7 linked regions of the Danio rerio genome follow. The protein of the gene in region 5 purifies or fractionates together with the protein of the main gene of each other region. This does not show direct contact. Links are inferred from orthologs where the notes say so. Each region holds a gene or a part of one and is shown on either strand. Other genes may lie near its edges. The genes, in order: cop1, glmna, dcaf8, brwd3, cul4b, cops4 and trpc4apb.

Region 1 (3,500 bases), on a different chromosome or scaffold from region 5:
TAAAAGATAATAAGACTGTGTACAAGATGCATTATTGTGGCTTTTATAAACATTTGAACAAAAACTTTGTGAGAATTTGCCAGGGGTTTGAATAATTCCAGCCTTGACTTTATATATCGCATTATCATAGCTTTGATTATAAACCAAAATGCCAAAAGCAAACCTTTCTGTTGTTTAATTAATGTCATATCATGCCACTCACCACATGCTACATAGTCTCCATTTGATGCCAAACCCACAAAGTTCTTCTCATTGATGTGGCCTTTGAAAGAGCGTAAACAATGAGGCTTGTTCACGTTCCAGAGTTTCAGCTGGCTGTCTGTTGAGCTGTGAACACAGTGTATCACAATTTAACTCTGATCTCAGTTTAAAATCAAGACTCTAAAATTTAGTTTGTAATTATACTTTCAACACAATACTTATAAGCCATGAATGATCACTCACATTAAATATATCTTTATATTTTTTTATTTTATTTTTTTATTTATTTTAATTTATTTTATTTTATTTTCTACATTTTTGGTGAAGCACTATAGCCCATACATAAAAACCAATTCTAGCAAAATTTTAGCTGATTGTGCAACATCTCTACTGAAGCTGGCAGTGTCATTATGGTAAAAAAAAAACACTATAGTATTTACTATAAATTAGTGTATTTTCTTGTGGATGTTTGACAACTGAAAATAGATCTGGTACTAGACTATATTATATTATATATAATATTATATATATATAGATATTTTAGCCTGTGTTACTTTTTACCTTGCACTATTAGCTAACATTATAATTTTGGATATGCGTTTTCCTATATTGATTACAATACCCAATTTTTAAATTGTTAAAATATTCTTAAGAATAAAATATTATGTGTTTTTCGGAAGAGTATAATAGCATTGTGATGCTATTATACTCTTATTATATAACGAGTGGCATAAAATGGTCTTAAAAAGCAATATATCTTGCTGCAATATATATAGTACAACAAAAAATAGAGACAGATCTACCCTTAACTTCTTCCACTGACTTTTGTCCTCAAATTATTTCTACTGATAAAGGAAAAAAAAAAAAAACACAAGGACTTTGAGTGTATACATACGCAGAGACAATTTCTTCTCCATTGACAAACTTGGCATAGGATACTGCTTTCCTGTGGCCTTTGAAAACCATGATGGGCTGCTTAGTGTTCCTCAGGTCATAGTAGTGCACACAGTGGTCTGTAAAAGATTTAAAACAAAGTTTTAAAAAGACTTCTGCAGGAAGCCAAACTTTTAATAGATTAAAATGAATTATGTACCTGCACAACCGAAGGCAAGATGATATCGAGAGGTTGGACTGAACTTAACACAGCATACATTGGCCTTGGCTTCAATGCTGGCTACTGAATTGTCCAGGTTGGTGGACCATAACTTGACTGGGGAGAAGCGAGTTGCATTCATGAGTATTTATAAAAGAATATCTTCGTAAGAACTATAAATCAAATAACTTGATAGGAACGGTTCGGTTGCGGGAATACCTTTTGCGTCATCTGATCCCGACGCTAAGAGCTTGGGATCCATAAGGTTGAAATCGACACTCCAACACCGCTTTTCATGCTCCTATGAAAAATCCAACCAGCAAATCAGAGTCTAACATAGATTAAGTATAAATGTTTCGCAAATTATATTATGTGTCAAAGACGAGGCATTATTCTGACCTGTTCTTATATTCTGACTTAGGGATCATACTAAATGCTATTATTATATTTTAATTGATTAAAAACCACCTGCAGAAAAATTAGTAAAACATGGATTGACAGAGCATTACATTTTTCAATTACATGTAATTACTACTTTGGGGCTAATTATGACCCCTAAATAGAGTCTTTTTGATAAAGTAATTTCTGTTTTAAATATGGCTGAGAGGGAAGATGGCATATAAACTATTATTTCATTGAATTATAATTTTATCCTCTGTAAATAATGGTAAAAATATATGACAGACAAACACAAAATATACTCCTCAATAATCACTCCAATTAATTAAAACAAAAACACAATAAACCTGTCTTTTTTCTGTACACGATGTACAAAACAGCCTGTATTTATACATCTAATAATTATTTTAAAGCTATTATATGCATGTTATTTTTATCTGTTAAAAAGGACTGACTGTATCCATGCAATATTAAGCAACAAAACTGTTTATAACATTTAAAATATTTGACAGATCTATAATATTTGAATGGGAAACAAACAATTATTTAATTTTGTATGCATGTAATTTAAACCACATAATTACATCAGCTGTCCTCTAAAAGCATGGCTTCTGCACATTTCATTAAGTCAGTTGTAAGACTTGAAGACAATTGGAAATGTACATAAAAAACTGTTGATGGAAATGCCAAGATGCGCATCAATTTTGGAAATGCGTACGTGCATAACAAAGTAAGAGAAACTTTTTATCCGAAAAGAAAAGATGTGCGTAAACTATGATGGAAAAAACACTTTTACCAAACAAATTCAGTTTGCGCATTAAAAAAGTCTTTGCATTGTAAAATATCTGAAAGGTTGTTTTGGTTATTCTAATACCCTTTAAACTAGGTCTGGGCGATATGACAAAAATGCAAACTCGATAATTATTTTCCATATTGAACAATAATCATATAGATTTGATGCAAGTTGTCAATGTTTCCAGATTTAAAAGAGAACCCCTACAATCACTGAAGCCACAAAAATTAGAAGGTCCATTAAATGGCATAACATTTTCAGCCAAAAATTTGGTACATCTCTAATATTAACACACACTTTTAGAATCTCATGTTTACACATTTCTGCTGTATCATGGGCTCTTAGATCAATATAGCATAAAAATGTAAAAGTTAAAAGTTAAAAAATATATAATAAACTACATCTATGCACAACAATCTGTCCTTTTAACGCACTTGTAAACAATTGTTATTGTAAGAAACCTAAACGGTGAATAGAGTTAAAAGTAACCTTTTGAAATAAAGTTTAAAGTTTAATTGACATTGGTTATTGGTGATTGGGTAGCTATAAATGGACAAAGGAAAATTAATACCTGGTTTAAAAAGATTTAAGACCTACAACACAATATTTCAGTAAATTACTTTAAGACCTAAAATTTTGATCTTGAAATTTGTCTTTTAAAGACTCTGTAGATACTCTGTGAAAATTATAGAGAAAAATATTCAGAATTTGGCTGGGCGTTAAAATCGCTATCAATGACTGTTGACCGAACACCATTGTCATTTTCGCCGGAGAGGCCTTTTGGTTTCTTTTCTTGTTCATCCCAGCTACTAGCACCCCATCTGAAAAATTTTTGCATAGTGGTAATGTAGTCATTCAACTTCACAATTTTACACACACTGTGTACCATTTTATCTACCAAGCTTACGAGTAAAAAAACGTATGTTTATTTTACTATAAAGAGATGGGATATTTTGTTTAAATATTTTTGTCTATGACTATTAAAATGATTTGCCTCAGTAATGTTGGTAAATT
Region 2 (3,500 bases), on a different chromosome or scaffold from region 5:
GAGATTTTCAACATCTCTAGGGTTTACACAGAATGGTCGAAATACGAGAAAATCCCCCCCCAAAAAAAAAAAACCAGTGAGCGGCAGTTCTGTGGGCACAAATGCCTTGTTGATGCCAGAGGTCAGAGGAGAATGGCTAGACTAGTTCCAGCTGATAGAAAGACAACAGTAACCCAAATAACCACTCGTTACAACCGAGGTATGCAGAAGAGCATCTCTGAACGAACAACATGTAGAACCTTGAGGCGGATGGGCTACAGCAGCAGAAGACCACACCGGGTGCCACTCCTGTAAGCTAGAACAGAAAACTGAGGCTACAATTCGCACAGGCGCACTAAAATTGAACAATAGAAGATGCTGCAACATTCAGATGGTAGGGTCAGAAATTGGCATTAACAGGATGAAAGGATGGATCCATCCTGCCTTGTCTCAACAGTTCAGGCTGGTGGTGGTTTAGTAATGGTGGGGGGGGACATTTTCTTGCCACACTTTGGGCCCATTAGTACCAATTGAGCATTGTGTCAATGCCACAGCCTACCTGAGTGTTGCTGCTGACCATGTCCATTACTTTATGAACACAGTGTACCTATCTTCTGATGGCTACTTCCAGCAGAATAACGCACCTTGTCATAAAGTGCGAATCATCTCAGACTGGTTTCTTGAACAGGACAGGGATGTGGTGGAACGGGAGATTGGCATCATGGATGTGCACCCGACAAATCTGCGTGATGCTATCATGTCAATATGGACCAAATCTCTGAGGAATATTTCCAGTACCTTGTTGAATCTATGCCACTAAGTTTAAGGCAGTTCTGAAGTCAAAAGGTAGTCCAACCCCGTACTAGTAAGGTTTACCTAATAAAGTGTGATTGTAAGTCTAAACACAGTCTGAGTAAAAGGCCAGCAAAGGTCATTTATATATAAAAATAAAGGAAAGAGTATACACTGTTAAGCCAAGACAGACCAATACTAGTAACTTATATGATGCCAGTACATTAGTCAAACTTTGAAGCGGATCAAAAAAGTTTACAAAAATTGTTCTAAGACAAGATTGGGTGTTGTTTTATGATGACTTATCCTTAAAGGGATAGTTCACCCAAAAAAGAAATCATTTTCATTTACTCACACTTAGGTGGTTTTAAACTCTTATGGTTTTTCTTCTTCTGATGAACGCAAAGAAAGATATTCAAAAAAATGTTGAGAAAAAGAAAAAAAAACAACTGTTGACATCCAGAGTAAATGCAAAAAACACAATGAAGTCAATGGCACTCAACATTTTTCACTATATCTTCCTTTGTGTTAAACAGAATAAAAAACTTAAACAAAAACTAAAATAGTTTGGTAACAAAAGGAGAATAGGTAAATTTTCCTTTCTGGGTAAACTACTCTTTTAACAAAGTCCAAAAATATAGTCTACATCAGTGTTTCTCAACCACATTCCTGGAGGACCACCAGCTCTGCAAATACTCCATGTCTCTTTAAACAATCACACCTGATTCAGATCATCAGCTCATTAGCAGAGACTGAAAGACCTGTAATGGGTGTGACAGACAAAGGAGACATCCAAAACATGCAGTGCTGTTGGTCCTCCAGGAACGTGGCTGAGAAACACTGATCTACATGATTCTGGACATTATGAATGGGTACCTACAACTTAAGCAGTTCCACTCTGAGCTCGTTGTCTTTGGATATACTGTTGTTATCCTTGACAACCTCCTTGATCTCCTCAACAAAGGGCTTCACAAACTGTAGAAGAGCAGAGCAGCAGCGGCACAAGCCGAAAACATCGTCCTCCTCCTGCTCTGCTGTGACAGGCACTGGCAGCCTGGAGACCTGCGAGAGCAGTGTGGAGAGAGCCATACCCACAGACGAGGCCTTCCTAATGCCCAGACGCAGCAGCACTGAAACGATAGGACAAAAAAAGTACACATTAAGTTTAGGATCCATTCAAAATGCAAAAAGTGTCATGTAGGATGTTTATAAATACAACCTAATTATTTTTTTACCACCAGGCAATGCAAGATCTATATGATTTTGGAGTGTGCAATATATATATATATACAGTTGAAGTCAACATTTATAGCCCTCCTGTGATTTTTCACTTTTTTTCCAAATATTTCCAAAATGATGTTTAACAGAAGGGTGACGCAGTGGTGCAGTAGGTAGTGCTGTCACCTCACAGCAAGAAAGCCACTGGTTCGAGCCTCGGCTGGGTCAGTTGGCGTTTCTGTGTGGAGTTTGCATGTTCTCCTTGTGTTCGCGTGGGAATCCTCCGGTGCTCCAATTTCCCCACAAGTCCAAAGACATGCTGTATAGGTGAATTGGGTAGGCTAAATTGTCTGTAGTGTATGAGTATGAATGAATGGATGTGTGCCACACGCCTGCTTTTGAATGAAGGTTTCAGCCATTAAATCGTCCCCTGGGAGCTGGCTGCAGTATAAGTCATAAAGCATGCCTCCTCCGTGTTAATGAACGAGACTTGAGCCCAAATAAAAAAAAATTATTACACTTGCAATAAAATGTCCCGAAAGATGGTTTTGGTCAATAGGGGCACTGGTCATCATGCTGAAATAGGTGCAGATCTTCATTTTTGTAAACAGTATGTTTTTAGCAGTAATTTAATGCTGGGCGTGTCATCGTGATTGACAGTTCTGATTGACAGCTTCTCAAAGCTGACCGTCAGAGCTTCGGCAGGAGATTGAAAGGTTAATTTTCAATTTCTGTGTTATTTTACCATAATAAAATGGGCTCAGCAGTAAACTATACTTTCTGACCTACAGGATCTGGTGGAACACTGTTTTTTCGGTAAGGTCAGGGCTTTATCTGGCTTTATTAGTTTGCTGATACACGCCCAACGTTAGCCATGACGGGGAAAATACAGGTGATGGCTATCTAGCAGTAATTCTCTTTACGAGTCTGAAATAATAATTAGGAAGACAAAACTAATGTTAGCCGACACCTACATTGATCTCCTGTAATGTTATATAAAATTGATTTAAAGGACGTCTCTGACATTTTGAGTTTTGACATGTTATTGAGTTAATCTACTGAACTTGCTGTTATAAAATGTTAACGTTCTAGAAACCAAATCTTATATAACAAATAGAGGTGTAAATGTTATATATTATTTATATACATCATTTACCGTTGGCTTTTTATTTGAAAACTCCTAATAAACATTAAAATGAATGCAATTTCCTCTTTGCCAGATATAATGAGGGCATCGAATAAACCAAATGAAACGGAGGCAAAAATTATCAACAATATGCAAGCAATGTTGCAGCAGCTGATTGACATCAGGTGATGTATTAACACTGTAAAGTTTATTTTACAAATTGATATGAATTGTTTTATATAGTGCAGGGACGGGATGTGTAATTATCTTTTAAATGCATGACTTTTCCCGCATGGTAAATCGTTATCTATGCTTTGTAGGCTATATTTTGGGTCCTGTTGATTGCTAATTTAAAATAAAAACCTTTCTAAAATGTATGTGTTGT
Region 3 (3,500 bases), on a different chromosome or scaffold from region 5:
CTTTCAGTCTCTGCTAATGAGCCGGTGACCTGAATCAGGTATGTTTGGTTAAGGAAACAGGGAAAATGTGCTTAGCTGGTGTTTCTCCAGGAACTTGGTTGAGAAACACTGCTTTAGGGTATTTTAAAAGAGTTTAGAATCTTTGCATTATTAAAAATTGTATAGATCTATCTATCTAACCTGGCTGTACATTTCGATCCAGTTTAAATTGCTGTTGTGTTTTTGTTTGACAGAAACCACTTTTTTTTTTTAAATGTAGAAACTTCCCTCTTTTATTTATTATTCTGTCCCCAGGCAAAGTTCCTTCCACACAGCGGTGACTCCACATTGGCCATGTGTGCCCGAGATGGACAGATCAGAGTGGCAGAACTGTCTGCCACACAACGATGCAAGAACACCAAAAGAGTGGCTCAGCATAAAGGTGCAGCTCATAAGGTATGAGTTTTGTTGAATTGTTTGACAGAAATACAATACAATACAATCTGAATTCAAAGATTAAGACCTAACAGTTATTATGATGTGTGGATTTGCATTAAATAATACTTAAACCATGGTTACCCTAAACCAATCAGCTTTGAAATCTGTAACTGCTTGGAGCTGTGCAGTTGCATATGTTTGATTAATCAACAGTGTGCAACATCTTTTAAAGAATCAGAAGAATAATTCTGTAACTAAAGCGATTGTTTTATTGGGTTTATGGCGAGATGTAAAAAGAGATTGCAATCAAAAAATCACATGTGAATGCTTGTGACTTTTGTTTTATTTTCTTAGCTTGCACTGGAGCCAGACTCTCCCTGCTCTTTCCTCTCTGCTGGTGAAGATGCAGTAGTGTTCGGCATTGACCTGCGTTTAGACAGACCTGCCAAGTGAGTGCAAAGTCATGTCACAAACAGCCCTAAAATTGCCAGAGGAAAAGAAATGAAGCACTTCAGCCAAGCGACAGGAGCAGGATTAGATATCCTACAAAGAATTGTGTCAGCAGCTAGATGAGTCAGTGGAAGCTTCTGTCTCATGCTATTATATGGTTTACTTGACAGTGGTCCATCTCAACACTGCTAATGCTTTTGGGAAATGCCTCTTGTTAATTATTTTGCTTTCTGTTGGTATGCTATTAAAGAGCCCCTATTTTGCATTATAAAAGGTCGTTTTGGTTTTGGGGTCTCTAACAACAGGCTGATATGCATGCAATGTCAAAAAAACACTTTAATTTTCTTATAATATGCATTTAGTTTTACCTAATTATCTCAACGACTCCTATATGATTCGTTCAGCAATTTCATTTGTTCTCCTTAGCACAATGTTAATCGTGCTGATTGAACCAATGACACAGTCTGTCATGATTTGTTGACTGTGTTCAGCGCAAGATGGAGAGTAATGCCCACCATGGCTATGAAGTAGCACACAGAGTATATGAAAGCCCAATGCAGAAATGCAATAAAGCAATGCAGTTAAACACCAACATATTAGTCTATTAGTCGTTTAGATTGGTAAGAAGCATGGTAAATTGGAAGGAGCATGAGTCACGTTTTCAACATGGTTTTGGATGCAGTATGTAAATAGCCCCATGAAGTTTTAACCTAAGAGGTACAATATAAGCATAGATCTATAATAGATAAGTGATTACAAGCTGCTCGGGGTGACACACAATTTAATACATATTTTGTAGGCTGTCCCATACATAATAGTCTCTGCTGCTCCTTCCTCTAATAGCAAACCGCCAATGAAACCCGTGTTGCAGTGTAGGTTATTGTATCAAAAATACTGTACTGCGGTGGTGTTGTGAGAATAAACTATTACCACCTATTCCCCGCAGCCGAATCTCCATCTGTCAGTGATCGTCATCTTAGCATCATGATCAGTCCCCGCACTCTGCTAGTGTCTAATGGGAAAGTTGCGTTCACGTTTTACCATTTCGCCACTTCTTATTTGGTGATGTACCGTATCGATGTTGTTGCGTTCAAGCAAAAGCTCCGAACCCAATACGATTTATTCAATTGACTCTGAGTCGACTATTTCGTAAAAGAATCAATCATTTTCAACACGGTGCAGTTTCAGATATAAACCTGAAAGTGCTCATTTACTTGTTACACACTGCATAGAAGATCATTTTCAAAAACCCATAATTGAGGCTTTTTAAAAAAAACTCTGCATTTGTTAAATTAACAACGTGCTATATTTCAAATGTTTAAGGCTTGAAAGATTTTTAAAAAAAAAACATAATCAGTTAATGTGTATTTAACAATAATATTAAAGTGGTGTAAAACAGGACTATGTTTTTTCTTCAGTTTTTCAACATTGATCAAAAAATGTAAAGTTTCATGAGCACTTTTCCAATTTATTACATTATGAAGTTTCAAATGACGCAGAAGACTGAAGTAAATGCTATATTTCCATCACAGGAGTTAATTACATTTGAAAAAATGTATATTTTCTTTCTTTTTTCTCCACAAAAGTAATAATTTTAAACATTATAGTTGGAAAATAATGATATTTTAAGTAAACATAAAATGTTTTATGACATTTTAATTACTCCCAGAACTAATTTTTTTATCCTAAAATATATATTTTATGCTCCAGCAACATTATGGAATTTTCTGCAGCAGAAATGCAGTATTATGTCGGGGATAATTTTAGTGAAAGAAATGGCTGTGATTCATAGGATACATAACATGCTTTTGTTCTATATTAAGTATACACTCTAGCTTACTGACCTACCATTTTCCCATTTATTTTTATTCTCAGCAAACTGGTAGTGGTGAAGGAGGGTGAAAAGAAGGTGGGACTATACACCATTTATGTGAACCCAGCCAACACACATCACTTTGCTGTGGGTGGCAGAGATCAGTATGTCAGGTGAGATGAACAGTCGTGGTGGTGTCTTGTTTTATGGGATTTAAAACATGACCTAATATACAGTGCCATTTTATTTCTCTGTCTTCAACATTTCAAGGTGAAAGCTGTCAAGCATACCTGATCCTGTTGGGCTGGGCTGATAAACAAAATCATATTGAATGGCCATACAATTTATGTTGATAATGATGATAAGCTCTGGACATTTTTACTTGATCGTAATCATCACCAATGATCAGCCAATCACACTGCATATACATCCAACAACAGGAATCTAGAATTGTGTTGATATTAGAGATTCACTGAATTTTTGGTTGCCGAAAATAGGTCATGCTGTGTCTCCCAGTATTGGTTAGTACACTCGTTTTATTTTTCTGTCTGCAGTATTCGCCTTCAGTCATGGTTGGGATACTCTTTTAAAAGGGGAAGCATTAACAACTTATATTGAAATATATATTTAATCATTCAATACAGAAAAATAATTATCGAGATTATATTTTTGCCATATCGCCCAGCCCTATGATCCTATTATTTCTCCACTGTTAAGCTGCCAGAAGACAAAAAGGGCAGCTGTTCTGCATCGCTCACTGATTCTGTCTCTTCCTGTTTCATATGTGATAGGATCTATGACCAGAGAAAGATAAACGAAC
Region 4 (3,500 bases), on a different chromosome or scaffold from region 5:
GTATCGTCAGCAGTGTTAAGTTTTTAAAGACATACCTTAGTCAAATGATTTACAGTAATATCACTACAATATCATGGACTAAAAGTCCTCCACTTCCACACAGCTCTCAGATCGCCTGTAAATGCTGCTCTCTGAATTACTGTCTATCTCTCCTGCGTCTGCGTTTGTGTTGCCAGCGTAAAAATCAGCTGTTGTGCTCATACTGAAACACGACTTTTCATGCATATCCTTCCCTCTTTCACCACTCGACGCTCCCACCTAAACAAAGCTGGACTCACCCACATTTCTGACCTTTTTCAAACTAGAGGTGTAAAAACAGGGCTGGGGGGTTTCATGGCCCTTTAAAATAAATTTTTTTTCATCAGTATGTATAATGTAGTAAAATGATGCATGTTATAATTAGTTTATTTTGCAAAGATCAAACTAAAAGTTTTTGGATAAGTAGAAGGTAGTAGGTTTACTTGGAATGCTGTGACTTTCAGATTGAATGCACTGAGAAAATAAAAAATAAAATGTATTATTTATTCTTATATTAACGGTTTACATTTACTTAAAAAGGATAGTTCAACCAAAAATGCAAAGTCTGTCATTGTTTACTCACCCACCCAAATTCTTACCTCTTTTGAACACAAAATAAGCTGGCAACCTGTAACCATTGACTTGAGTATTTGATTGTCCTATTATGGATTTCAGTAGTTACACATTTTTAACGTTCTTCAAAATATCTTCTTTTGTGTTCAACAGCAGAAAAAAACTCAAGATTTGCAACTATGCAATTTTGGGTGAACTATCCCTTTAAGACACAAACAACTAAATTTATTAGGATAAACAATATGTATCGTTCAATACAAGATAACATGTGAATATATCTTGAACAAAGCAGAAGTTTACAAACATTACAATATAACTTTTAGTTTAACTTACTGATTTTTAAAAGCTGTCAATTGTTTTTCATAATCTACAATCTGACTCATTGTTTGCATTGGGTTCAGTTTTATTGTGCCCGTGTGTACAAGATATTTAAATATGAAAAAGAAGATAATAATAATAATAATAAAACCTAACATACAAAACATAAACTAAAAATGCAGGGAGGCTTTCCATTATTTGATTTTATTCATGTACACCTGATAATTTTACCATTAGCCATGTATCCCAGCTGGGGCACGAGCTGCTCCTCTTTGCAGTTTTCTCTGCCCGGCACCAGGCGCTGGCATCGAGGAGGGTGGGGGTTTCCATCCACGTCCACCAGGAAAGGCGGAGGCATAAGATGTGGTGCCTGCTGCGTCTGCTCATCTAGAACAAAGTTATTAGAGTCCCGGATCAATGGCCGGAAATCTGTGTGGAAGAACATTTGGTCTGGAATCTGAAAGCAGAGCAAAGCGTTGAAATGTGAACATGTGTGGTTTAAATCAACTGCACTTAATGCCACACATCTGAGACACACACTCACCATTTCATAAGGCTGACTGCACCCAAAGCCGAAGATGAGCAGATGACCATGCGAGTCTGTGCAGGCGAAGTGCTGCCCGTCCACTGAAAACTTACAATCAAACACAGCACCATGACCCTGACCCTCAATCTGGCAGAGGAAAAAGAAAAGGGAAATAAATGCAGTGCTGAGATTAACAGCCAGACTGTAGCATAAATGACTGAGCAATAATATGGGCTTTGAAATAATTTTTCTTGTTCTTCAAAAATGTCTGCATTTATTTTTTATTTGCTTAAAAATATATAATTAAAAGCCATGTGAAATCCTATAATAATTGAAATAGTTTTCTGGGTTAATATTTCATTATTATAATTATAATATAATTAATTTTAGTTGCAGAATTTTAAAAATCTATTTTTTCAGTGTTTAGTTTTGCATGACTTTTCAAAAAAATATTCTAGTATGCCATTTTAATGATCAAAAAATAAATAAATAAAGATTTTAAATGTTGTAGAAAACTGTCCTGTGGGCTGTTCCATAAGCCATGCTTGGAGAAAAAGCCAGGCTTAATTTGGAAGTCGGGTTTATTAATGGCTGATTCGGTTTCATAAATCAAATGTTCAAACTCAGTTACTCTGGCAACTTATGCTGGGAAACTAGCCTGGTCCAGAGCAGGTTAACTCTCAGGCTAAGTCTTAAGTTTAAGCTTAATCAAATTCATGTTAACATTCACCTGCCATAATTTGATGCCATTTTAATTAACTTAACCTCTTAAAAATGATTAACATTTTATAGTCACTTAATAGTAAATATATATTGCAACACCTCCTCTCCTTGAATTGGTATCACTCTTGAGGGGGTTCTACAGAAATAGAGACACTGCTCGCTGCAGAGCCATTTGAGCAGAGCGGAGCTCCAGCGAGGGGGAGCATGAACTCTCGCTCCTCCTCCTATAAGCGATTTTAATGCGTACACCAACCCCACCCCTAACCCTACCCCCAGTGACATCACTCGTAGAAGAAGTGCAAAAAAGGAGGAGTGAGAGCTCAAGCTCCCCCTCGCTGGAGCTCAGCTCTGCCCAAATGGCTCTGCAGTGAGCACCACTTGCAGAAATATGGCTGACTGAATAAACACTCTCTCGAAACAAATTATAGCAAGCGTAAACTCTCTTTTTATTTTACCAACATATTTTAGAAAAGAACAATAATATATTTAAATTCAAACAAGTTATTTCAAACTAAACAAATAGGAACTACAACATTTTAACAAAATGTCTATATTGTTTTAGTTTATGCTGATTCCCCTCTACAGACTACATTTCTTACAGAAATCAAAAAAGCATCAAACCCTGAGTGGAATAATCAGGAGATGGATCTGGGCTGAGCAGTAGCCTCACTTTAGTATAAAGATACTTTCCCACGAGGCCCAGGAAATACACATGTCAAAGGGAAAGCAGCAATTTGCAGCGGTTTCGGGAGCAAATTAAAAATCCTGCCGCTTGTGCGTGCACGGCTCTTTGTTGCCATTATTTTAAACTTAATGTCCTTACATTAAACATATTTTGTATGTGACAGTATGCAATGCATTAAAACTTTTTCTTGCAAGCGACAAATGGCAGAAAGCGCGTATCCTTTCTTGCGCATACAAGCACAATTTCAACGTACTGTGACAAATATATAATTCAACAATAATAGGCCTAAATAATGGCCTATATTTTAAAATATATTGGTATATATGTAGCCTATAGAGGCCATCTGAAATTTCCTGTCAGCCTTCTCTCTTGCTTTAAATAAATTATTAGTTGTTTAAAGTCTAAAAACAAATGCAGCTCACTCACTGTGAACACAGCGGTCTTATTTCAGCACTCGTTCAGTTCTCGTAGTTGCCATGGTGGCACACAACATTATAGATGCATTTACGCTCGACCTTTAAGGTTTCACGACTAGTCTATTCTTATCTAAGATTAGTTAGATCAAATGATATTCAACTTGTTATGGAACCAATTTAGGCGTGGACGTTTAGTCTGGCTCATTGAAGTCAGGTTTCTTTACTTTTCTAAACGACTTTT
Region 5 (4,297 bases):
GCTCTCAGATCTGCTGTAAATGTTGCTCTCCGAATCACTGTCTATCTCCCCTGCGTTTGTGTTGCCGCTGTGAAAATTAGTGTGTGCATGTAGCGAAACTCTCCTTTTTATGCAAACCCTTCCCTCTTTTGGCACTCAACACTCCCACCTAAACACATCTGGACCCACCCACTTTCCTGGCTTTTTTCAAACTCGTGGTGTGAAAACAACCTGCTGAGAGAGAGGACTTTCGTGGCCCTTAAATTAATAAAACTGCTGCTTCTCTCTGTTCAGAGATATGACAAATTATGCATGCACTGCAGCAGGGACTTGCCCCACAGATCCAAAATAGTCCTAATATAAACACTTATCAGAGATTTATAACACTTATCACAGGCCCCCAGAAGACAAAGGATTCTCATTTTGAAAAAAAAAAAAAACGTATTTAATGTGCAATTATTTATATTTAGAATTAGATTCAAGTGAAGTAAATCCGATTTCAGTTGTTGCACTATTAAACTATTTGTTTTTTAGCGTTATGTTCGACATTGTGTTAATATTTAAAAGTACAGTGCTCAGCATATGAGTACACCCTTCACAAATCTCTCATTTAAATTAATATGTCCTGTAGGATGCTTTACAATATTATATTTGTGCATAAACATTAGTTTAGTCAGTACTGATTCCAAATCTGGAGCAAATCCAACAAAATAACTTACAATAAAGGTTTAAAAATTAGTAGCCCAAATTGATATGTTAGGGAAAAATATTAAACAACATATAATATTTTGAACAACTTTGTTGAAATGTTGTAGTTTGTCATTTTTTTTTTTTGCAATACTTTGAATGAATTTAATTGTATTGTCTTTCCATTTCTAAAGATGTTCTTTGACTAAAAAAAATAATTTAATAAATATATCCGTTTAATAAATCTGTTTTGTTCAAATGCACCAATGTTTATTACCCATATTCACTGGATGAAAATAGATAATATTTCTCACATGTACTCAATTATGCTGAGCACTATACATACATGCGAACTAGTAATTATCCCAATAATGCTCAATTATAAGGAACATAATTATAATTAAGTTTCAAACTTATGGCTACTGAGATAAAAGATGCACCTAACATTTGATACAAAATACTTAAAATAAAATATGCTTTGCTCGTAAAAAAAAAAAACTCTGTCAGAGAATGAGCCTCGGAATAGTGACAAACAGCACCATACACTCTAAAAGCACAAAACATTTTAGTAACAATGTACAATGTTTCATTTGTTGACATTATTACAATTAATTTAAAATATGTTAGCATGAACCGGTTATATTTGTAGAACCAGAAATATTGCAACATTTATTATTATGCTAAATTTTAATTCCATCTAGTTTCTCCATCAAAAATTAGCAAAACTTTGTTAGCATTAGTTATTGCATTATGAGCATTTTTATAAACATCAACTATGATTAATAAATGCACTGATGCTTTTATTTTTAGTTGAATTAATAAAATGTTACCAAATTAGATCACATTGTATAGTTTTACCAGTACTTTATAAATCTCTTTGAAATTATACATACAATGAAATGAAAATGAACGGGTAATATCCATAAACAAATACTCAAGCAGTGAGATTTTGTTAGCAAAAGTGGCTTATCTTCATAAAAGCTAGTTAAAGTCTATAATAATTATGTTTAGATAGAAAGATCTTTGCTATCATTTGTGACAGTGTCATTACATTTCCTTTTATAAAGAGGTTTTGCAGTTGTTTACCTTTACATGAGGCCGTGGCTTCACCACTCATTTATGGACTTCACAACTGCGTTTGGCCATAAACGCAGTCTAGACATGCAGCTAACTAAGTTTTAAAAGACAGCCCAATATATTTCCCTTATATTATTACAGATTTATCGCCTACCTTTAAAGTTCTTGATAACAAGTTTCTTCGCAGCACCGGGTTTACTGTTGGAGAAGGTAGCGGAGCCCGCAGACTTGGTCAGTCCGTTAGCATGATGCCCAACACCGCCGGGCAGAAACACATTTCTCGCCTTTGAACAGGATTCGGATGGGTTACAGGACTCCTCGGCCATCTTCACATCCAGTCCGATCAAATCCAGCGGGTCCTCGAACCTCAACTTCTTCTGGATGTGCTGTTGTTGCTGCTGTTGTTGTGAACTGGAAGAGCAGGACGTTGTGGAGGAGGAATTGCAGATGGCTTTAGGAGACGATGATATTGAATCAATGTCTTCCTTGTCTGAACTGTTGATTTTCCTCTTCTTAGAAGACGTTAAGCTACTGTCGTTGTGAACATCAGAAGCTGCCGGTCTGGGCTCTTGGGCTGGCGGTGGGGGATTAGGGGAAGGTAAACCTGTTGGAAACATGAAAAAAGAAATACTAAATCAAATCGCTAATCTACTAATGCTACGATCCCGGGTGCGGACGCTTTCTATTCCTCGGTCTCGGTCGGGGGAAGTGCAAGCTCTCGGCTCCGTGTATGGATAAGGAGGAAAAAAAAGATAAATTGAGAAGTGCAGCCCCACTTGGACCCTTCTCTGTTCTTGTTATTGCCAGCAGAGGAAAGATGGTTGAATACTGCTTCCTCTCGCTCGAGCACACTCCGGCGCGCGGCACAAAGTCCGTTGGATTACAAGCTGCTTTTCGCCGAGGGCTGTTTGCGTTAAAGCATTCTGCCGGACGCCGTCTGTCCGCTCACGAGACTGGTTGGTATTTTAGGTTTTTTGTCCAAGTCCGCGGGGAAATAGTAACTTTTCTAAGAGGCGACGCTGACCCGCCGGAAGTACTTTCGACCGTTGCTCTGCGCAGCTGCTGTTGAGGCACGTTGGATAAGCGCAAGGCCTAACTGCTCCGATGCGCCACCAGAGGACGCCAAAGCACCACGAGCAGTCTAGACCAGACTAAACGCTGGAACCCCTGTGCACTGTTCAAATTACCACCCTTTCATTATATTTGAAGCTTTTTTTGTCCTATTTACTTTGATTAAAATGACATTTTTATTGCTAAGCGATGATAACGTATGCATTGTTGATTGTTGGTGGCTTTCCCCGTTGGGAAGAGGTAAAATGTGAAATATTTACTGTTCATCGCCAAGTGGCAGCATAGATAGGCCTTTGCAAAAAGTTTCTGGCTTTTAAAAGAAGTTCCTTGGAGTAAAACAGCATAGTGTGCATAAATACACTTACTGGTTACTATGTTCTGAGAGCTGAGCTGCATTTTTTTATTTTTAGTGGGAAGAAGCTTTTTTTGCACTGCAACTGATGATCAACAATTAAAAAAAACATCTTCCTAAAAGGAAAACTACCAACCATCTAGAATACATGAGTATTTTGAGTCATGGGTTTGCAATCAAAACATGGCATTATAATGGAAGTCAATGAGGCAAAAACAAACAAAACAAAAGGGGAGTAAATTTGCCCAATGTGTATTGCTGACTTTTTGAACATTTTCTAAGCATTTCCCCAAAATATGTCGAAATAGGATTTGCTATTAAAAATCATTCTATTAGCTGAAACAGAAGAAGTTGTAGCCAAACCAGACTCAAAATCCCCCCAAAGTTTTGAGATACTAATACTAAATATTCCATGTTCTCCCAGTGTTTGCGTGGGTTTCCTCGGGTGCTCCAGTTTCCACCACAGACCAAAGACATGCGCAGGTGAGTTGGGTAAGCTAAATTGTCCGTAGTGCATGTGTGTGTATGAGTGTTTCTCAGTGATGCGTTGTAGCTGGAAGGGCATCCGCTGCATAAAAAATATGCTGGATAAGTTGGCGGTTCATTCTGCAGTGGAGACCCCAGATTAATAAAGGGACTAAACCGAAAAGAATGAATGTTATGACCTTGTTTATAACAAAGTTTTATTTGTATTAAATGGTGTCCACAAATGTCAATTTCTCCCCAGTTTGTCAAAAGATATCAAACAAGTGAAAAATCTAAAAGTAAGACCTTGTTGCCTTATCATTAATATTATTTTTTATAATTAAAAAAGTCTTAATTTAGTTTTTATACTTTACATAATATGCTGCTTATTAGTTGCTTAAGGCTGCATGGTGGCTCAGAGGTTGGCACTGTCGTCTCAGAGCAAGAAGGCCACTGGTTCGAGTCCCGGCTGCATTTCTGTGAGGAGTTTGCATGTTCTCCCCTTGTTTGCATGGGTTTCCTCTTGCTCTGGTTTCCCCCACAGTCCAAAGACATGCTCTATAGGTGAATCGAATAAACTAAATCAGCTGTAGTGTATGAGTGTATGTGAGAGTGTATGGGTGTTACTGGGTTGCAGCTGGAAAGGCATTTGCTGTGTAAAACATA
Region 6 (4,286 bases), on a different chromosome or scaffold from region 5:
CCAGCCAAGGCTCGAACCAGCAACCTACTTGCTGTAAGGCTATTGTGCTGTCAACTGTGCCCCCGTGACACCTTTATATTATATTATATTATATTATATTATATTATATTATATTATATTATATTATATTATATTATATTATATTATATTATATTATATTATATTATATTACATATGTGTGGCTATAGTGTATGAGTGTGAACGAGTGTGTTTAGATATTTGCCAGAACTGGGTTGCAGCTGACAGGGCATCAGCTGTGTAAAACATATGCTTGGTAAGTTGGCAGTTCATTCCGCTGTGGCAACTCCTGATGAATGAAGGGACTAAGCCGAAAAAAAATTAATGAATTAATTAATTATATTATAGAGTTACTGCAGGGAAGAGTGAAGGAGGCAGATCTTTATTGATCCTTACTATATATAAAATCTCATCAGGAGGCTGTTGAGCTCAGAGTAATAATAAAATATCTGAAACTAAAAACACGAAGATGTCTGAGAAAGATTTCTTAGAGGTTCAGTTACTAAAGGTTCAGTTTTTATGTTGTCTTTAGAATATTAACTAGGTGTAATTTATTTTATCAATTATTAATTCATCATTATTCAATTAATATTACTACTAATATTATGTCTAAACCCCCCAATGGGTGTGTTGCACCTATTTGTATTGATGAATTTTAGACATTTACAATTAAAATTAATTAAATAAAATTTTGACAAACAAATTGATATAATAAATTAATTTATGTTCACATTTATGTTCACATTAATAATAATAATAAATAAAATGTTGCACACACACACACACACACACACACACACACACACACACACACACACACACATTTGATGCACAAGATTTGATTAACAAGAATTATTTATTAAAATCCCCAGTTAAATTGTATTTTATTAACACCTACCCCATTCCTAAACTCAAGCATCAAAGTGATGGTAAAACACCACGTATTACCCATATTATTCATTAAATTACCCATTAAACTGTATTTTATTAACGTCTACCCCTATCTAACCCTAAACCCAACCAATAAAGTTATGTGAAACAGTAATTATACCAAGTATTACTCATAATATTTATTAAATTACCAATTAAATTGTATTTTATTAATGTCAACACCTACCTAACCCTAAATACAAACATCAAAGTAATGTAAAAACAATAATTATATCAAGCATTATTCATAATATTTATCAAATTACCCATTGAACTGTATTTTATTAATGCCTATCCCCCCTAACCCTAAACTCAATCAATAAAGTTATGTAAAACAGTAATTATACCATTATAATGTAAAAAACTGTCATTATACCAATTATTACTCATAATATTTATTAAATTACCCATTGAATTGTATTTTATTAATGCCCATCTCACAGTTATGTAAAATATTAATTAGTGTCACAAAAATGATGCTATCCGCAGCTGTATCCCACATAGACTTTACCGCCCTCTAGTGTGTTGTTCAGTTGTCGTCGGTTCTCTGTGTTGTGTGGCGCCCTCTGCTGGCCCGCAGGTTTCGCTGTTTAAGTGCGGAGGAAAATGGCGTCCGGCGTGAGGCAGGAGCTCGCACAGCTGATGAACTCTAGTGGCTCTCATAAAGATCTAGCTGGGAAGTATGTGGTTTCAAGTCATTTGCTAATATCGTTACTGTATGTCTTTTGCATTTGGGTGTTATTGTGTGATTTTCTATATAAAGGTCTGTGATACTGCAAATGATATGACTACAGGCTAACATTAGCAAGCGTGTGTAATACTGAGGATCTACCTGTCAACATGCCTACATCAATAACAATCATACAAGTTATAAATAGTAAAAGCTATTAGAATCATTAGCATATTTGTATGCAAATGTCTTTGTGAATTGACTAATATAATTTGAAAACGATAGGAGGAGTACGTTAATGCAAATACAGTTAGCCTACAGAATTTAAGACCCCATTAAATCAAATCGTTTGGTTCAGTAATTTTGGTTTGAGATATTGTATATCCAAACGTAGACCTAAAAGTTGACAATATAGTTGTCATTTGACAATGACATTTGAAAAAAAACCGTTTGTTTTTTAAAACCAAAATACTGATGACTCATCTTGCATTTAGGGGCGTGTCTACGTTTTTGTCCAATCAAATTTTATAGGATGAACAAGCCTTACCCTCAGCATTATTAAAATGTGTGTCTGAATATGTAGACTTTTATATTAGGCGAAAAGAAAAAGTTGAATAGACAGTAATAGTTCATTGTATTTAAAAAAAAACAGTAGGGGAGAGCAGGAATAAAAGAAACGTGGGACAAAAGTAACAAAGTGATTTTCTCGAAGCCCTGAAAACATTTGATTTACAGGCTATAACAACACATTTAGCAGCATGCAACCCTTAATGAAACTGCTAAATATACAATTTTGGGGCCGTGTCCTGCAATGAGCTCTAAATTTCTGTTTGAAAGTGCAAAATGTAAATTATTGTAGTGGTTTGTTGTATTTCTCTTTTCATGCATCACCGTAATGATCAATCTGCAGGTTCTTTAGTGCAATAACAATTCCTTGATTTTGAAATGTCTGAGTTTTGCAGTTTAAAAGGTAAATTAGGTTTACTGTAGGGATGAAAGTAACACTGTTATTTATGTCCCTCTGCACTTTTTCACTTCCATATTAGTTTTCAGTGTTTTGACTCTTGACTGTTTTATAAGATTAATGCAGATTGCCAATAATAATAATAAAATATTCAAAAATTTTAAGAAAATATAACATTTTGCATTGTTTGATTGCTTTTGAAACATTTTATGGAAGTAAAATTAAAAATTAAGGTGCAGTTTAATATTTTTTTTGCAAAAATAAAGGACAAAATATGCCTGCAGTTAACATTAACAAGGTCAAAGTCAGATACAGTGGTGGAATGAGTACTGAAAAATCAAAAGTACATATTTTTTAAATTACTTGGTAAATTACAATTTCTGAGAAAAGTTACTCACAGTAATTTGAGTATTGGTGATTTGTTACTTTACACCACTGGTCAGATATATTTAAAATAAACACGATTAAGCCGGTAAATCTAGCAAATATTGTTGTGTTACTTTTGACTCACCTGTGAGTTTTTTTTCGTTCCTGTCAAAAGTAGCTGTGCAACTTTTGTGTAAAGTGACGTTATATTGGTGTTGTTCTACATTATACAAAATAACACCTGATTTTGATTGATCACTCTTATGAGTTGGTAACCTCAGCAAAATATATATTTCCGCTAAAAACATTATCTTTTTAGAGTTAGGTTTATATGCAAAATGTTACTTTCATCCCCGCTGTCCCCTATGCAAAAAGGACCAGAATAACATGCTTTGTATGCTGAGATTCTGAGGTGTGTGTCGAATCAAAACTTTTCTGTCTCACTAGGCCACAGGAGAGGATTTGTGAATAGTAGTGGAGCGACACAAGTCACACAGCCCATATGAAATTGATCATGACTATATTATAGTAAAAGTGTATTAAGCATTTTTTTGGTACACTGATGATTAGCATTTGTATAAACAAGACTTAACCACAAATAAACACCAGGAATAGATTTAAATTGGTGTCAAAATCCATAGTTGATTTGTGGTTACTGTGGTTTGCTTAAATAATGATGATTTACATATATTCTGAAGATGAAGTTCAAGTTTAGGTCATATGACCGTGGCAACATTGTGAATGGGGATGTAGAACTGTTGATTGACAGCCACTAAGAATTCACCTTAACAAGCATTTAAAGCTGCATTTGATATATTTATCACTTTATACAGTACAATATAAATCCAGTCATCATTATCATCCAGTAATGTCAACACAAGTATAGTATAATTTTTGTAGCTATAATCTTTGTCCTCCCTGTTTTCACAGATATCGTCAAATATTAGAAAAGGCTCTACAGTTTACTGATGCAGAACAACTTGAAGCACTGAAAGCATTTGTTGAAGCGAGTAAGTATACTAGTATTCAAGTACTAATATTCTGATTATAAACATTCACTTGCCTCTTTACTAATTACACCTTGCTGTTACTGGTTAGACCCATTTTGATTTCAGAACTGCTCGTTCTCATGGCTTAGAATAGTTTTAGCAAGGATCTCATATTATTTCTCAGAATTTTTGGTCCATATTTACAGGACTGTATCACACAGATGATGCTGACTTGCTGCCTGCATGTTCATTATGTAAATCTCTGTTGAGATTTGAAGGTTTTGTTTAATTTACAATAAATGGACTGAAATGCTGAAAACGGAGATGTGGCTATCAACAATCGATCTCT
Region 7 (4,281 bases), on a different chromosome or scaffold from region 5:
TAGGTTAAACATAAAACATTTGTGGTCATATAAACAGCTATAAAAGCTGAACTCTTAAAAATGAATCTCTATTAAGAAAAGCCTAAAAGCCCCTTAAATTCCCAAAGATGGCAGCTCTCACTGCATTTCACCTTTTTATTTTACACAAAAACAGATCAAATAAAGGCAAAACTCACCAAGTGTGACCTAAATCCAGCAGATGCCAAGAGTGTATTGACTCTTTGAATGTGTTTTCAGGTTTGCAGCTTCCCTCCTCCCTTTTCAGCTCCAGTAAATTGAAGTATTTTGTGGACTTGATTCAGAACCACCCATTTCCTCGACTCAGGGCTGGTTTTTGTCGTCCTCCACTGTGTGTGTTCAGGAAAGGCATGAGCGCAGACACACGTCTCTCTTTCCTCGCCGTGCTTTATCATCGGAGAGGGTGTGTGTTGAGTCTGTATCGTCTCTTTGATCTCCTCTGATGATGCGATTGTATGTTTGGCCTCCATTCATCATCGCCCAAGAGATGAAGTCATGGTCATTTAACAGGCCCCAAAATGGGGGAAACTACAGGAACCTCCATGATTATTTGTCTGGTGTGTGCAGTAAATGCTGGTGGATCAGGAAAAAAACTATTATTTCTATATATTATCTATATATCTATGCTGTTTGCATAACAAGAGCATGCGCGTACTGTAAATTACAGTACAATATTTTCATCACTGACAATGGAAATATTTGTAATTGCATTTTTAAAAATTCTTTATTTTAAATTAAGTTACTTAATTATAGAAGTTATTTTATACAATATATACAAGTAGTATGTAGGCCTACATATAAATATTATCAACATAAATCATAAACATATTATACATATATCATTTTTAATATGGCAGCATGAAGGCTCAGTGGTAAGCACTGTCGCCTCACAGCAAGAAGGTCGCTGGTTCAAGCCTCAGCTGAACCAGTTGGCATTTCTGTGTGGAGTTTGGATGTTCTCCCCGTGTTGGTGTGGGTTTCCTCCGTGTGCTCCTTACATGTGCTATAGGTGAACTGGGTAAACAAAATTGGCCCTACTGTTTTTGTGTGGAAATAAGTGTTTATGGGTATTTCCCAATGCTGGGTACTGGGAAACACTAAGTATATGGATGCTCTTAGTATTCCCAATGCTTAGAGCATCCGCTGTGTAAAACATATGCTGATTAAAACTTATGCTGGAATAGTTGACGGTTCATTCCGCTGTGGCGACCTCTGATATAGAGACTAAGCTGAACAGAATAATATAATCGATCATACAAAAATAATAGTGTAGGACCTTCCAAAAGAGAAACAAATAAACAATTCTAAAATGTTTGAACATCATATTTGGTTTCCCAATAAAGCCTGTTATTTGTAGAGCTCCAGATATTCCGCAGGTTGTAGTTTTCTTCCAGTCCAGCAGGAAGCAGCAGCAGCTCCATCTCTCCCCCGCTGGTTTCGTGGAAACTTCTCAACGTCACGACGTCAGAGGAACAGCAATGGCGACAAGAGGCCCTGGGTTTTCTCGCACCCAAACAAGACGAGGAAAACCATGCAAAAACATCTTTCATAAAATTCGACAAGGCCAAGTCACCGGCGAGGGGTTAACTAGAGGATCACAGGTGAGATTATAAATGACATAAATGTCTAAATCGGCTCCAAAGCGTTTCTTTGACACTGTTTACATTTGAGGGCCCGAACAGCACTCCATTTAAAACACCTCTTAATCTGAAATACAGAACATTTCATCGAGTTCAAAGCGAATTATGATGTGTAACGGTAACGTTAGATGACTAATATGGTGTGGTTAGATTTAACTTTTTAATATGTGAAATTATCTTCCTGCTACTCAAAATATGTTGTTGACTGATTCTGGAGACAATTTAGGTAAACTTGGTTTAACTGTTACGCACATTCGTTCAGTGATAACTGTGACATGCTCCCTATATTGTATACCATGGTACTTTGAATAATGGATCTGAAATCACATACAAGTAACGTTATGTCTTCAAAGCAGCATTAACACTAACGTTATTTATTTGACTGTAAACAGTGTTTTACTTTGATATTCCCTGGCTGCTAAAATGATTTCACTATTAAAAATTTGTAAAGAATACTTTTCTGAAATTAAATTACTGAGAAAGTCTGAATGTGCGAATATAAAATAAATTTTACCTTAGTCTTTAGTCATGAAACAAAACGGGTCCAGTAACTGTAACTGCTATTACGGTAGCTTTAGAAGTATTTTACATTTAAATGTTATCAGTATTAATATAGACATTATATTTAACACAGCTATTCCAATGAATCATGTTCATCATCATATGAACTTGCACTCACAGGCCACTTCATTAGGTACACCTTACTAGTAACAGGTTGGACCCACTTTTGCCTTCAGAACTGCCTTAATGCTTCCTGGCATAGACTCAACAAGGTACTGGAAATATTCTTCAGAGATTTTAGTTCATATTGACATGATGGCATCACGCAGTTGCTGCAGAGTTTTCGGCTGCACATTTATGAGACGAATCTTCCCTTCCACCACATCTCAAAAGGGCTCTATTGGATTGAGATCTGGTGACTGTGGAAGCCATTTGAGTACAGTGAACTCATTGCCATGTTCAAGAAACCAGTCTGAGTTGCGCTTTGACATGCGCCCACAGAACGTCCGCTCACTGGATATTTTCGCTTTTTTGGACCATTCTCTGCAAACCCTAGAGATGGTTATGTGTGAAAATCCCAGTATATAAGCAGTTTCTGAAATACTCACACTAGCCTGTCTGGCACTTACAACCACGCCACGTTCAGAGTCACTTAAATCACCCTTCTTCCCCCATTGTGATGCTAGATTTAAACTGCAGCAGATCGTCTTGACTATGTCTATCTACATGCCTAAATGCATTGAGTTGCTGCCATGTGATTGGCTGATTAGAAATTTGTATTAACGAGCAGCTGGGCAGGTGTACCTAATAAAGTGGCCGGTGAGTGTATATCTCTTATTGTCGTTTTAATACATCTAAATCAGTGCATCTACACACAATAAAGGGTCCAGTCATTCAAATGCATAAAATTGATAATGTTATTTTTTAAATTCAATTCAATTTATCTCTATTTTTATAACGCTTTTACAATGTATATTGTGTCAAAGCAGCTTAACATAGAAGATTAGAGTAAATTGAAACAGTGTCAGTCCAGTTTTTAGAGTTGAAGTTTAGTTTAGTTCAGTGGGGTTTAATTTTAACTGCTTATAGTTCAAAAATGGAAGAGCAAATCCATCGATGGGCAGCTCCACAAGTTACGAACCATGCAAGCCAGTGGCGAGGAACAAACTTCACCAATTGATGAAAGTGAAAGAAAAAAACCTAGAGAGAATCCAGGCTCAGTTGGGCACAACCATTTCTCTTATGGCCAAACTTCTTGTGCAGAGCTGCAGTCTAAGCAACGGAGGCTGGAGAAAGCTGGACGTCCATCACGGAGAAGCTGCAGGTTTCTGGCTGATGTACAGCCTGGCCCTTCAGGATCAATGCAAGGATTCGTCTGTCACTGGGGTCTTACAGGAATCAGTCTCACGCTCTCCACTCCTCCATAACCACCACAGCAGCTGCTCAGGATACAGCCTGGTCCAATATTATGGAAACCAGAATAATAAAAACAGACTAACTAACAATTCTTTAGAGGATTTGGATTTGAAAAGCATTTGTGTTTTATGTGTATGCTAATGCAAAGAGATGTGTCTTTAATCTGGTTTTAAACTGACAGAGTGTGTCTGCTTCCCGAACTGTGCTAGGAAGGCTGTTCCAGAGTTTAAGTGACAGATATGAGAAAGATCTACCACCTACAGTTGAATTTAATATTCTGGGAATAATCAATTGTCCAGAATTAATTGAGCATCCTCCTGGATGTTAGGGGGTTGTAATACACCAGAAGCTCCCTCATATACGGGGGAGCTAAGCTGTTCAGGGCTTTGTAGGTAGTAAATTTTTTTAAATTATACAATATTTAATAGGGAGCCAAGCAGTGATGAAATAGAAAGAACAATGGTTTAACAAAAGTAATATTTAATGATGTCTCATATCAAGCTAAATCTGTTTTTCAAAGATAGCTGTATGTTTTAAAAGCTTTCAAATGTGTATCTTCTTTTTATGCCAGCATTTTCAGGCATTTATTAAGTGGTAATAAGTCAATCAAAATGAGGGGCAGATGTAACCCAGCCCAACTCTGCATAGTACATTATTGTCAGATATTTTCATGTATGTTTTATATATTTTTATAATATTTTAAATA

The links.
Region 1: the proteins of cul4b (region 5) and cop1 purify together in Homo sapiens (affinity purification with western blotting; 4 studies listed by BioGRID and IntAct, with this or other methods). This does not show direct contact. The link is inferred for Danio rerio from reciprocal best matches to the Homo sapiens genes CUL4B and COP1.
Region 2: the proteins of cul4b (region 5) and glmna purify together in Homo sapiens (affinity purification with mass spectrometry; 3 studies listed by BioGRID and IntAct, counting the BioPlex papers as one, with this or other methods). This does not show direct contact. The link is inferred for Danio rerio from reciprocal best matches to the Homo sapiens genes CUL4B and GLMN.
Region 3: the proteins of cul4b (region 5) and dcaf8 purify together in Homo sapiens (affinity purification with western blotting; 7 studies listed by BioGRID and IntAct, counting the BioPlex papers as one, with this or other methods). This does not show direct contact. The link is inferred for Danio rerio from reciprocal best matches to the Homo sapiens genes CUL4B and DCAF8.
Region 4: the proteins of cul4b (region 5) and brwd3 purify together in Homo sapiens (affinity purification with mass spectrometry; 3 studies listed by BioGRID and IntAct, with this or other methods). This does not show direct contact. The link is inferred for Danio rerio from reciprocal best matches to the Homo sapiens genes CUL4B and BRWD3.
Region 6: the proteins of cul4b (region 5) and cops4 purify together in Homo sapiens (affinity purification with mass spectrometry; 9 studies listed by BioGRID and IntAct, with this or other methods). This does not show direct contact. The link is inferred for Danio rerio from reciprocal best matches to the Homo sapiens genes CUL4B and COPS4.
Region 7: the proteins of cul4b (region 5) and trpc4apb purify together in Homo sapiens (affinity purification with mass spectrometry; 4 studies listed by BioGRID and IntAct, counting the BioPlex papers as one, with this or other methods). This does not show direct contact. The link is inferred for Danio rerio from reciprocal best matches to the Homo sapiens genes CUL4B and TRPC4AP.

Annotation. Positions count from the first base shown.
Region 1 is NC_133177.1:38,101,960-38,105,459, reverse strand, and holds part of cop1 (E3 ubiquitin-protein ligase COP1), read right to left. Parts: intron 1,596-3,500; coding exon 1,514-1,595; intron 1,412-1,513; coding exon 1,295-1,411; intron 1,215-1,294; coding exon 1,097-1,214; intron 328-1,096; coding exon 203-327; intron 1-202. UniProt on the Homo sapiens protein: E3 ubiquitin-protein ligase that mediates ubiquitination and subsequent proteasomal degradation of target proteins.
Region 2 is NC_133177.1:11,252,415-11,255,914, reverse strand, and holds part of glmna (glomulin, FKBP associated protein a), read right to left. Parts: intron 1,902-3,500; coding exon 1,652-1,901; intron 1-1,651.
Region 3 is NC_133177.1:41,035,514-41,039,013, forward strand, and holds part of dcaf8 (DDB1- and CUL4-associated factor 8), read left to right. Parts: intron 1-294; coding exon 295-435; intron 436-771; coding exon 772-866; intron 867-2,742; coding exon 2,743-2,853; intron 2,854-3,471; coding exon 3,472-3,500. UniProt on the Homo sapiens protein: May function as a substrate receptor for CUL4-DDB1 E3 ubiquitin-protein ligase complex.
Region 4 is NC_133180.1:23,679,229-23,682,728, reverse strand, and holds part of brwd3 (bromodomain and WD repeat-containing protein 3), read right to left. Parts: intron 1,583-3,500; coding exon 1,454-1,582; intron 1,367-1,453; coding exon 1,141-1,366; intron 1-1,140. UniProt on the Homo sapiens protein: Plays a role in the regulation of cell morphology and cytoskeletal organization. Required in the control of cell shape.
Region 5 is NC_133189.1:38,063,572-38,067,868, reverse strand, and holds the start of cul4b (cullin-4B), read right to left. Parts: upstream 2,801-4,297; 5' UTR 2,361-2,800; coding exon 1,898-2,360; intron 1-1,897.
Region 6 is NC_133185.1:12,012,889-12,017,174, forward strand, and holds the start of cops4 (COP9 signalosome complex subunit 4), read left to right. Parts: upstream 1-1,486; 5' UTR 1,487-1,554; coding exon 1,555-1,628; exon of another isoform or gene 1,629-3,605; intron 3,606-3,848; exon of another isoform or gene 3,849-3,878; coding exon 3,879-3,958; intron 3,959-4,286. UniProt on the Homo sapiens protein: Component of the COP9 signalosome complex (CSN), a complex involved in various cellular and developmental processes.
Region 7 is NC_133198.1:21,678,178-21,682,458, reverse strand, and holds the start of trpc4apb (transient receptor potential cation channel, subfamily C, member 4 associated protein b), read left to right. Parts: upstream 1-1,481; 5' UTR 1,482-1,496; coding exon 1,497-1,619; intron 1,620-3,422; exon of another isoform or gene 3,423-4,281. UniProt on the Homo sapiens protein: Substrate-recognition component of a DCX (DDB1-CUL4-X-box) E3 ubiquitin-protein ligase complex required for cell cycle control.